Linked DNA regions of Caenorhabditis elegans. The protein of the gene in region 1 purifies or fractionates together with the protein of each later gene. This does not show direct contact. Each region holds a gene or a part of one and is shown in the gene's direction. Other genes may lie near its edges. The genes, in order: hcp-2 and cls-2.

Evidence for each region.
Region 2: the proteins of hcp-2 (region 1) and cls-2 purify together in Caenorhabditis elegans (affinity purification with mass spectrometry, with the first as the bait; one study listed by BioGRID). This does not show direct contact.

What each region holds. Positions count from the first base shown.
Region 1 is NC_003283.11:9,644,105-9,650,768, forward strand, and holds hcp-2 (HoloCentric chromosome binding Protein), read left to right. Parts: upstream 1-1,754; 5' UTR 1,755-1,777; coding exon 1,778-1,828; intron 1,829-1,873; coding exon 1,874-2,475; intron 2,476-2,522; coding exon 2,523-3,024; intron 3,025-3,072; coding exon 3,073-3,360; intron 3,361-3,408; coding exon 3,409-4,803; intron 4,804-4,848; coding exon 4,849-5,112; intron 5,113-5,159; coding exon 5,160-5,722; intron 5,723-5,777; coding exon 5,778-6,000; 3' UTR 6,001-6,107; downstream 6,108-6,664. Other genes in the region: atl-1 (Serine/threonine-protein kinase ATR), read right to left, coding at 1-39, 87-314, 360-842, 891-970, 1,015-1,079, 1,128-1,229, 1,277-1,350.
Region 2 is NC_003281.10:9,053,441-9,059,402, forward strand, and holds cls-2 (TOG domain-containing protein), read left to right. Parts: upstream 1-1,607; 5' UTR 1,608-1,611; coding exon 1,612-1,704; intron 1,705-1,753; coding exon 1,754-2,555; intron 2,556-2,600; coding exon 2,601-3,256; intron 3,257-3,303; coding exon 3,304-3,687; intron 3,688-3,731; coding exon 3,732-4,115; intron 4,116-4,340; coding exon 4,341-4,781; intron 4,782-4,823; coding exon 4,824-4,952; intron 4,953-5,003; coding exon 5,004-5,186; 3' UTR 5,187-5,455; downstream 5,456-5,962. Other genes in the region: R107.5 (uncharacterized protein), read right to left, coding at 189-344; gst-1 (Glutathione S-transferase P), read left to right, coding at 5,917-5,962. UniProt on the Caenorhabditis elegans protein: Probable microtubule plus-end tracking protein that promotes the stabilization of dynamic microtubules. Required for the formation of mitotic and meiotic spindles. Specifically promotes the polymerization of kinetochore-bound microtubules.

The sequences.
Region 1 (6,664 bases):
ATCAGTGTGTGTACTTTGAATAGAGTGTTTGATTCGCCGCTGTAACAATTCCGAGATTTAATTGTTTAATATTCTAATTAACTCACCATGCAAATCTCACTTGCTGTCATACATAGCCTCGCAGGAAACTCATGTATATCATGGTTTGTCGATAAATCTAACAACAACAAGGAAAAGTTTTCTAGTAGTCCAAACTTGTCATTTGCATCATCGATTAACTCTAAATAAATTATGAGCCATTGAACTGGTTTTTGTCGAAGTTCTTTATGCATAATCAAAACTTTGCCATGATCCTGTAGAAAGTGTTGTATCTCCTGAAATTGATAAATTATACATTCGAAGTATAAAAATGAAATTACATTCAATAGCTTTGGAAACGTCATGTGATTGGTCGACTTCTTCGCAGTTAATGAGTTAAATGTGGCAAACAGTTCATCAATGAACAGGGCCTGATCAAGAATAGAATTGTGCAGTTTTTTATATTTTAAGATTGTCAATCCAGCACGCAAGCAATTTTCGGTCATCGAGCAATCATTTTTCAGTTTGTCTTCCAACTGTGATCGGCAGTGAGGCCAAAACAGAACCAATTCATCGAAATGAACGCATTCTCCTGCGTTTTCTCCGAATAAAGTTGAAATGATATTCCACTTCAAATGATATCTAAAAAATCCTGAGGCACCTAATGAAATAGCTGAAGCAATTTCAGGAGTGATTAATTGTGGCAGAGAAGACGAAGGTTCGACGTCACAATATTTAACAACTTCCAGTAATCCTTGCAGGAAATAAATAGTTTCTCTCGGGTCTTGTTTCGTCACAGAGATCATCAGTACTGATAGAATTCGCTGAAATAAATAAAAAACATTGAATTATTGAATATAATTCTTGCTAACGTCAAAACATTTTGCCAATTCTTCATCCTCAAAGGCACACATCGACGCAATCACTGATTGAAATAATCTTATTTTTTCCTCTGGAACGAATATATTAATACAAATACTAAATTGTATTTTCTACCTGAAGAAAGTTCCTGCTTCTCTGTTATTAAATGTAATGTAAATGTTATACTCTGAAGGATCATTCTGAAAAAACATAAATATAATCATCATCTTCTACATTTTCCAACTCACATCTTTTCCATGAACTCATTTTCGTCTAACTGCTCGATTCGGGAAACGAAAGATTTCGATAACAATTTAGTTATGTCATCTAACAAGAATTTCATTTTTTGTCTGAAAATGTAAAATAAAAAAGTTAAGATAAGATTTAATAATTATACCTGTTGAATTCTTTCTGCGTCACATATTTTTTCGCCGTACATAGCAGAGCTGAAACATCCTTATCGATATTCATTCCCAAATATCTGAAAGCCTGCGCACGTTATTTCAGTGGTTCGATGGATATTTAACAATATTTAAAATATATTGCTAACGTTTTTGTGATAATATTATGAAGAATTCACTAATACTTACTAAAAATAAGGAAACGAACAAAGTTTAAAAATAAATTCCTTCCGCAAAAAAAATTAAGCAAAATATAGAGTTCGATTGGATCGAATATATTCGAATTTGCATTGCAAATACAAACTCGCCCTATTGAAACGGCGCGAAATTTTAAACGATTGCTCCAGTTTTTGTATTGTTTTGTTGAAAATTATTATTTTCTCGTGAAGTTCCAGATTCACTTCGTTTTATTTCGTTAAACGTGGACTGTTTTTTTCAATAGTGCAATTCCCCAACTCATTATCGTAAATTCTCAGACGAATTTGATCAAATTCAATATGGAGGAAAGTACAAACGACGGCGATGAAAACAAGCCTGCAACTGGGAAGGTAAATTAAATATTTTTGTATTTATCAAAAGCAAAACAATTTCAGAAGCGACAACAGCTTGAATCTCCGTTTTCTGCTGCGACACCGAAATCGCGTCTCGGAAAGGAATCGAAAAGGTTTTTCGGGCGTTCTGCTATGAATTTGGCCGATGGAAATCTTGAAGAAACTCGCATTGAGCCAGACTCGCGCCATTCGTCTACCAGTACCTCCGACTCTATTCTTGATGATTCTTCAATCTCCAATTTTTCCACACTCGCCCCGCCAAATACCTCCGTTGATGATAACAGTGTCTGTGAACCGCCAAGAGCTTCCTCAGCTCATGATGTCGATCCTAATTTGGAACAAACGAAGGTTTACAGTGAAGACAGCATCAGCAAAGACTGTAGCATTGCTGACGAGAGTTTTGCGACTGATGGTGACGTCACACTGGCGAACGACTTCTTCCAACAAGCAACGATTCAAGATCTAGAGAATACTCCGTCAACACCACTTCGGAGCCAGACACAAGTTGGAGACGAAAGTACACCAACTGCTCCTTCCCCACTTCGTTCGAAAATTCCAATCGAGAGTGAGGTTGTGCAGTCAACTTCTGTAGAGTCAGTTCAGTCAACATCTCAGCATGAAAAATCGAGAATTGAATATTCTTTGTAAGATTAATTTAAATTTATTCCCATTGTTAAATTGTTTATTTCAGATATGAATTCGAAATGCTGGAGAAAAATATCGAGCATGATGAAGTCGTTAAAGATCTTCAATTGAAAATTGAACTTCTTGGAGAGAAACATAGACAAACTCTTGTTGAAATTAAAGAAGCTCGTGAAGTTGAAGAGAAAATGCTCATGCAACAAGTGGAGGAGGCTGTAAAAAAGACGAAATCTGAGCGCGAAGCTGCAAAAACTCTGGAACAACTTCTTGAGAAACGGATTGAAGAGCTCGAGATGAAATTAACGGAGCCGAACGGAGAGAAACTACAGTTTGAACATCAGTTGGAAGAGTTGAAGAGTCGTTGTGAAGAGCTTACTGACAAAGCACTGAAGGTTGATGTCATGCAACACAGCATTGAGGACTACGAAAAAAAGTTTGTGGAGTTGCAAGAAATGAAAGAGGAGGCTGATGAACAACTGCAAAAGGCTAAGGAAGACATTGAGACACTACAGATGAAGTATGTGGAATTGGAGACAACGATCAACAAAGAGGTAATGCAGTTAATATCTTGCCTGAAAATTAATTATATTTTTTCTTAGGTGTTCTCCAACTCTGAAATTGAAACTCTGAAGTCGGAACATGAAATTGTTCGTAAACTGATGTTGGATGAAATCCATCGTCTTGAGAATGAAATGTCTGCTCTTCAACCGAAGAATGATACTACTGAACTGGAAGAACTTCAGAAGACTCTCGATGATCTCAAAATTGACTGTTGCAATTTGACTTCAAAAATGCTTGAACTTCAGTCAGAGCTCGTAGAAGTGAAAGAGAAAGCCACGTCAGAAATTGGGGAAGCTGTTCAGAAAAACGGTGAACTCCTGGAACAGGTTCGTAGTTCGAGTTTAGAAATAATTGCACTATATTTCTTATTTCAGATCAATAGCCTTCGCGTCGAAAATGCAAAATTGGTGGACATGGAAGGTCAGCTAAACGATGCACATCGTAAAGCGGAAGATAAAGATGTTCGAATCAGTGAACTATTGACTACCATTGAGTCTCTTCGTCAAGATTCTGAGGCCAGCGATAAACTTCTAATGGATTCGGAGTCTACACAAAATGAGTATTCGCTTGCTCTTGAAAACACAGTCTCTGAGTTGGAAACAATGCGAAGAGAATATAAGGCTTCGGTGGATAAAGTTTGCAGTCTTCAACTGGAACTAGAAGAAATTCAACATGAAACATCAGTTGAATTGGAAGAGGCGGAAATAAGAATTAAAGAATTGGAGTTGGCACAAGAAGAAGCTGTAAAAACTGGAAGTTCACAGCTCAAGAAGCTAGAAATTGTTCAAGAAGATTGTCAGAAGCTTCGTGATCAATTGAAGGAGGAACAAATTCAGCAACTTGTATCTCTTCGCGAGACTTCTGAAGTCATGCACCAGGAATCGGCTCGACATCAAGAAGAAAAGTACCAGATTCAGAGCAAGTTGATGTCGACGGAAGCAGAAGTTATTGAGCTGAGATCCTCTATTGATTCTCTCCAAGCTGAAGTTCGAGTGCAGTCAGATTCCGCCGCAGACCAAAAACACATCCTTGAAGATTATTTGAGAAAAATTCGGCAAGCAGAGGAAACCAACGAAAAACTTCGCTCTGATTTGGCCTCCTCTGAAGAACAAATTCTAGATCTGAAGAATCAACAGGAATCATTGATTGATGATTTGAAGGAAAAATTGCACTCTGCAGAAAGTACGAATCAAGAATTGCAGGTCTCTCTGGAGATGCTCAAGATAGAAGTCAGTAATGCTCGTCAGAAAGTGATGGAGAGTGAGGTTTTAAAAGAATCTTTCGAAGCCCTTCAACTGGAGTTGTCGGCATCACAAGAAGTTTCTCGATCAGTGGTTGATGCTGCAGTTCAAGAAAAAGATGGTCTTCTGAGACTGGTGGATACGCTGAAGTTGAAAATTGAAGATACGGAAAAGTCTGCTCAAGATCTTCAACAAAGCTCTGTGGAAGAGATAAAACAACTTCAATTGGACCTTCAAAATTTCAAACAAAATGCTGAAGTTCTCGAATCTCTGAATGAAAAACTAAATTCTAGTCACAAGAGGGATATGGTGGCGTTGGCATCTCAACTAGAAGAGCTTCAACATAAACTCGTCGTCGGAGAATCCCAAGTGGAAAATGTTAAGGAAGAACTGATTGGAGCTAAGATAATGAACAAGGAAATGGTTGATGAACTGAATGCGAAGCTTGGGGATGCTCTTGAAGGGATGGAAGAACTGAAAAAGAGCCTAGAAGTATCCGAAGCTAAAGTTCAGAGAAGAGAAGAAGAGGTTTAAATTCCTTAAGATTTCAGTCGAATTAAACTTGTTTTTCAGCTAATCGCTCAAGTATCGAAACATCGTGATCAGCAGGAGCAGCTTCAATTGACTCTCGACGAGCTCAAATCGGCTCAACATTCCACGGAAACATCCCGTTCCCAGTCAAATGAACTTGCTGCTCGTATCGAAGAGCTTGAAGCTTCCATCTCCTTTGCACAGAAGGCTCTTCAAGATGTAGAAGACGTCAAACATCAACAAGACATTCAGATATCTGAGGCGAATGAGGCAATGGTAAAGCTGAAGCAAGACTTTGAGACAGAGGTATATTCTTTCGAATTTCGAACAGAACATAATTTATTTCTTTTCAGAGGACATCACTTCAAAACGAGTTCAACCAAACTGTTTCCGCAGACAAAGAGCAGCTTGGTCATGCTGAACAAATGATTGCTCAGAAAGAAAAAGAGATTATCACTCTCCAAGCTCGAATCGAAGCGATGTCTCAGCAGTTCGAGGAGCGCCTTGAAGCATCGAATGTTTGGAAGACCCAAGCCATGAATGTCGGTACACTGACTGAATCGTTGTCTCAGTTACAAGTACAACTTCAACAAATGAATGAGAAGCTGGTTGCATCGGACAAATACGCAGTTGAAGTGGAGCAGCAAGCTCAGCATGATATAACTGTGATCCAGGAAGAGAAGAACGAGCAATCAGCGGCTCTAGAAGAAGCACTATCCAAAATAGCGGAACTTGAGGAGCAACTGGGAAGAGCCCAGAAGGAGATTGTACGACTCGAGAAGGTGTGTGACGATTTCGACGACGTTGAACGAGAGCTGAAGGATGCCATCTCGAAGCTTCAATCTGAGATAAAGCAATTGAAAGGAATCAAGAAACCACCAAAAGTAATGGGACTCCTTCAACAGGCCAGACTTGGGTAAGTCTCCATGATTTTCGACAAAACTCAGATATGTAAATCTTTGATATTTCAGAGTGAAGCCGCTGAGTCGTGAACATTCTCATGCGGAGCCACCAGAGCCTGTTGTTGAGGACAAGTTCGAAGATGCTCAGGATTCGTTCCAAGAAGAGTTTTCCCATTCGCCAGATGCTATCACGTCATCTACGGTACTCCATCCAGATGATCATCTTCAAGAAACAACTGCAGTTGAAACGCCGTCGAAGAAGGCGAACCGCTCAAACTGCAACCAGCAATAATTTGAACTCGTATTTTATTTATTTTTACTTTTTGTGTGCCATTACGTATTTCCGCGCACTACTCAACTGTGAATGTCTTTCCGGGTCAGAATAAATGTCTTTATGTGAATTTAAATTTAGATGATTGTGCTTTTATATTACATAGTCTTCTTCTTTGATGCATTGAATTGATTAATTAAATCCGAAAAAATACAGATCATTGATTATATTGAGTTTGTTTGATTATCATTTAAAAAATTGACCGTGATATTATCGAAAAAATACGATCGCACAAATTTCTCATAATTTATTTTTGATCTACCTTGTTGACTAGGCTCCTCCCCTTCCTTCGACAAGACGGCCACAACAAAATAACAACGGCAACAAGATTGGAGTTATGAGTTGGACTAACGAAGGACACGCCGACGGACCACATCTACCAAGAATGCAGAGTTCTCCCTTTGAAAGAAGAATATAAGCTCTCGACGCAACAGATGTACTTGGCAGCGATCAAGTCAAACACGCACCCGTGCAGAGACCTGGAAGCAAAGCGCCAACTGGAACGAACCTCTAAACCGCCAAGGATCCCGCCGCTGAAGCTATCGGACTCTGAAAAGCTCAGACTCGACAACATCCCAGGCGACAAGACGGAGGCCCAAAAGAAGAATCACACGAAGCTGGTAGC
Region 2 (5,962 bases), on another chromosome or scaffold:
GTTCATGAATCAACACGTGATGGCTTCATCCCACCTAGTTTATGATGTCGAAAGATTTTTTCGAATGAATCTAAGCTTTGCACGTGCTTTAATTGTTCATAACATCTCAGACTAGTTTTTTATTCAAAGTTCTTAAATCTAGTTAAAAATTGTATGATAAAATCGAAATTTAACGATGAGTCACTTACCAACTCAAATTCAACGGGAAACGGGCGTTTTCCATTTGGTTCTCGTACATAATAATGATTTTCTTCTGGTGGCTGATGTGAGTTGAAGTTGTAGGGCTGGTGAAGATTCGAATTTTGATTCGAGAACGATTCGCTGAAGTTGGTGAGTTGTGTCATTTCTGCAAAAAAAAATAAAGCATATGACTTTACACATGGAAAAGGAGAAACAGAAGAGAAAGACGCAATGCAATTTCAACTAAAAAAATTGAAAATTGAAACGGAGATAAACACACAACAACGCGGAAACAATGAAGGACAGGTTTAACGTGTCAAAAATGTCGATATGATTGCAAATTTTGGTGAGAAACCTCGATTACGGGGGCGGGAAACTCTTTTGTATGAGAATTGAGGTCTTCGGGAAGTGAGCGGATTGTTCTAGAAGGTTCGCGCAACAAACCAATCGACCACGTGGAGGAGACACATCGCTACGGTTAGAGACGCAGACAGCTAAACGCTCGGCAAGCGCTATTCAACCGAGACAGCCGAGAAGTTTCTGTCGGAATGGGAAAATATAGGCGACTTTTTCCGAAAACGATCAGTTTTTGGTAGTGAAAGTGAAGAATATGATAGTACAGCTGAAATGAATTGATTGTTTTCTGCCTGTAGAAAAACCAACCATGATTATGAAATAATCGTACAATAGAAGCCATTCAAGAATCTCGTAATTTAAAATTCGCAGTTATAATTTTCTCAGCACTCTGGCGCATTCACAAAAATTTATATCAAACAGACAGAGTTGCACTTTACAGACAGAAGCAATACACATGTGTATTTTAGAAAAACATTTATTTTAGTAAATATATTTCCTGTAACGTTTCTGATATATATTTTACAGAAGAAACGAGCGAAATCGGTGAAAAAAATCGGTTTTTTTTTAATCCTTTAATGTTTGAATCTGGCGCCGGACGCGTTTTCGTCTCGAGACCCGAGGCTGTGCCTTTAACACTTTGATGTCTCGTCTCTCTACTCTCTCGTCAGCACTATTTTTAGCCTAAAAATTTTTAAATATCATTTCTAGAATTTTCATTTGGATATGCAAAATTTTTTCATTGAAAATTGAAACGTTCTTCGCGCTTTTTTCTTATATTCTCCTTTCTCAGCTTTGGAATTCATTATTTTCTTCGAATACGATTTCCTTGAGTCTTTGGTGTGAATCATTTTTCAAGATTGAATGTCTGTTTGAATTTATCGAAATGATCCAAGTAAAATGTGCCCTCCTCACCGTTTTCGAAATTAATGCAATTGCGCTCTAGTAATGACAAATCCTTGCCGGGCTATTTCACAATTTGCGCTCGATACTGAATGTTTGTTCTGTGTTTGTAAACTGTTGGATTTTCTCATTCTCTCCATTTTTGCTTTCTTTCACAATATCTATATTTTCCAGATGAGCCGTGTCATCAGCCGATCGACTCCGGGTGGGACATGTATCGTCAGCAAGGACGACTTTTTGAAGTCGTTCGAGGAAGTGCCCAAAATGGTAAGTTTTGTTCTCGCGTATGGTCTGGTCTTACTTATTTGTTTTTCAGGAAATCTCGTCGCCCTCAGACTTCAAGGAAAAGTTGGACCAGACAATTGAAACTCTGTCGAAAGGCCAGGAAGACTGGAACAAACGAATGAATAAGTTGAAACAGATTCGCTCAATGGTGGTTCACGGAGAAGACGTTATTGGAAGGGAGCAGCTTTTGAGCCAGCTTGTCCGGCTTACCGACTGCCTGGACCTCTCAGTGAAAGATCTCCGATCGCAAATCCTGCGAGAAGCTGCGATCACCTGTGGATTCCTATTCAAACGGTTCGGGACGGATGTTCGTCAAATTGCCGAGAGATGTCTTCCATCAGCGTTTGCCCAAGTCGCTGTAAGCACAAAGGTGATGGCAACGTGTGGAGCGGTGTTAACTCTGTTTATTGTTGAATTTATTCAAACAAAACAGATTTTCACTTGCATTGCCTCCTACTCCACATCGAAGGATAAAAATCAACGGAGACAGCTGTGCGCATTGCTGGAAATCGTCCTCGAACATTGGAACGAAAAGATCAAGAGGACAGTTCTACCACAAATTGGCGAGTTGATCAAGGCAGCAATTTGCGATGCTGATCCAGAGACCAGAGTTGCCGGACGAAAAGCATTCAGCAAGCTCGATGCACTACACTCCACTGAGGCAGACAAACTATTTGCTTCAGTCGACTCATCGAAACAAAAGATGTTGCGTGCCTCTGATGCTGCATCATCAAGCACGAGCATCAATAGTGAACGCGGAACTGCACCATTTCGGTCGAAATTGTCTGCGGGCAGTATTGGTGGAATCAGAAATGCACCGAACATTTCTTCAAGTGAGTTTAAAGTTCAACATATCAATCCAATTATTTCGTTTACAGAGTTTCTTGCTCAAAGAAGTGCTTCTGCCATCGATACAAAGCAGGTGACGCGAATGGCAACATCTGTGTCCAGAACTCCAAACATTCGCCCGATGACCACTAGGACACTTTCAAAAATCGACACCTCTCCAGGAGGTTCGAAGTTTGCTAGACCAACAGTTGGAGCGCTTGGTTCTCGTACCTCTTCCAATCTTCGTGCTCGTGGAAGTGTCCCAACGTCTCAGCCTGGTTCTCGAAATGGATCACCGCCACGCCGTCCATCCGCCACAGAGGCATTTCCAGCCGAAATGCAACGAGTCAAGTCGAATCTTGGTTCTAACTCGTTCGTTTCTTCTCTGTCAGCCGAGGAAGCTACGAAACTGCAGAAGGCAATGAACACGGCAAAGGAGAGCTTGAGGCAACCATCACGCAACGATGATGATGAGTTCCTCTTGCCAAAACGTCCAACCCCACAGAAGGCAACACCACAAAAAAGTGCACTTGATACTTCCAGAGTGGAAGAAGTGATTCGTGCTTGTTCGTCGACCTCTGCAAATGAGAAGCGAGAAGGAATTAAAATGCTTGCAGGCATTGTTTCGGAGCCAAATCTCAGCAACGCCGAAATCAAAAGCCTGGGCGCGGTTCTTAACAGATTGCTCGGAGAATCCACGAACCAGGTAGAACATTTTAATTTAATAATTTTTATTGCAACATTTTATTTCAGATTGTGCTGGAATCAATCAGTTCGTTTGTCAAAACCCATCATCCCCGTCTCAGTGATTGGCTCAAGCTTGGCCTTGGAAAGCTGTTTGCAAAGAAAGGAGCAGAGATGACGTTGAACAGTAAGAAGCAAATTTCCACAACCATCAGCTGTATTCTGTCATCGTTTGATCCAACCCTGCAATTGAAATCAACATGCGAGCTGGTGTGCGATCCAATTCATCTAATGTCCCCGAAGAGTCGCGTGGTCCTTCTTGAATATCTCAATGAACTTCTTGGGAAGTATATGGAGCGAGGATCGTCGTTCAACACTAAAGAGATGAAGGCCACCATTCTCAAGATGTTTTCGTGGATGGCAGATCAGAGGAATGAACAGTTGATCACCCCGGTAATTATAGCTCTCTCTTTATTTTAGCAATATGCATTTTTCAGCATGGCGAGAAAGTACTCTGCTCACTCTTCGCATTGAACAACGCCGACTTCTCTGCACTTTTCAACGACTTCAACCCCGACTATCGCGATTGGGCATACAAAGTTCTTCAGTCTCACGGACATGATCAACACGTTCCACAACAAGATGCTGTTTCTGAAGAGGCCTGTGTGCGAGCCACGATTTCTACTACAGCTGCGCAGATAGAAGATTTCGTCGTGTCGAGGAATCTTGATATGACTCCAGTAAAATCGCCTAGCACAAGAGCCATTTCGTCGGGTTTCAAACGAGTCGATGCGGAACCACTTCGTCCTCTGTCTTCGGAAATGAATTCACAGCACAGAGACGAGGAACTCAGCTTCAATGAGTCATTCGACCGATTAAAGGTATTTAACAGCATTATATTTAAAAGAAAATGGTTTTAAATGACAAGTGGTCAGAGGATTTCGAACCCCCCCCCCCCCCCCCCTCTTTCTTCGTTTCAGTGGCCACGTAAGGCGCGTAGTTCAGCAAAGTATATTTTTCGTAGACGTTAAAAATCATTTCTACATTTTGGCTCAATAATGACCGTCAGTTTCATCCTCCTATTCTTTCTTCAAATTATTTTTCAGCTCAACTCAACAACGCATCTTATTGACGATACGTCGGAGCAGAGCAAGTACGTGGCGTCGAAGCTGGCCCAGATCTCTGGTGACATGGGAGCTCAGCAATACGAAGGACTTTTGTCGATCCAGACAATGTTGTGTGAAGGCTCATTCACTCTTTGGGAGCAAAACTTCGCCAAGCTGTTGATCGCTGTCTTCGATGTGCTCTCCAAAAGCGAATCAGACGCCAACAAGAAAGTAGCTCTGCGCGTTTTGACAAAGATGTGCACTTCGCAAGCATCGCGCTTGTTCGACTCTACGGAAATGGCCATCTGTAAAGTTTTGGATGCTGCTGTCAACTCACAAGACGGAACGATGAACGTGACCGCTGATGACTGCTTGAAAACGCTGGCAACCCACCTTCCACTGGCTAAGGTGGTTAACATCTCGCAGCTCATTTTGAATGAGGTAAGTTCAAGAATTTTTACATTTAGGTAATCTGTTTGTCAGTATTTGCAGGAGAAAGCTCAAGAACCCAAAGCAAGCTTGGTTCTGAAAATGATGACCAGATTGTTTGAAGGTCTCCAAGCCGACGAATTGAGCCCAGTGGTTGATGATTTGGCGCCATGTGTGATCAAGGTAACTATTTATCAAACATCGCAATTCATTAATGAAATTTTTACTTTGCAGTCTTACGATTCCCCATCGTCTGCAGTTCGGAAAACTGCTGTCTACTGTCTGGTCGCGATGGTGAACAAGTTGGGAATGAAGACAATGGAGCCACATCTTCAAAATCTGTCGTCTGGAAAGCTGAACCTTGTCCAAGTCTACGTCAATCGGGCAATGTCGTCCAGTTCACATTCGCACGTATGATTCGTCGTTGCAATGTAGCCCATAATTCCCCCGTATTCGTATCCCAAATTTCCCCCGTAAAACCTTATCGTCCCTTTTCTCTCATCCCTTCACTTTGTAATATAATTTTATTTGTCAAGAGCGGGTATTGCACACTTTCTCTATGCTCCTTTTAGCATAATTTCCCCCGACTTATGTCCCTTATGATTTTCGACCCCCGTATTTCTTATTTTTATTTTTATATATTTTCTTTTCTTATTTATTTTTTATATGAATATTTCTTAAATTTATTTCTTGTGTATAAGTTGAAAACCGTTTTTTCGTTCAGGCCAATATATATCTGGAACAATAGGTAAAAAACTTTCGGTATTCAATTAGCCATCACGTTTTGTTGACAGTAATCTCGTTTCAGTGTTTTTTCTGATCTGCTACCGGCGCCAAGACTAAACTATTGTTAATTTTCTAGAAACTTCTCTGGCATTTCAACGTCATCCAGAACAATTGTAATCATCTTAACAACTTTTTGTCATCATTTTCGTGCTGGCCACGTTGTCTTTCTCTTTCATTCCAGTGCTCTCTCTTGCTTGTTTCGTCTAGCACCCCTAGTACCTCCACGAACTATAAAAGCCGTTCTATTTGTCCACTTCTCACATTCGATTTCTTTTCTTAATTCTCTCTTGAAAACAAAAAAAACCAGTTTCCACATTTCAAGTGTTTGTTTTCAGTCAGTATTCACTCAACTTCGTTCAATATGACCCTCAAGCTCACGTACTTCGACATCCACGGACTCGCTGAGC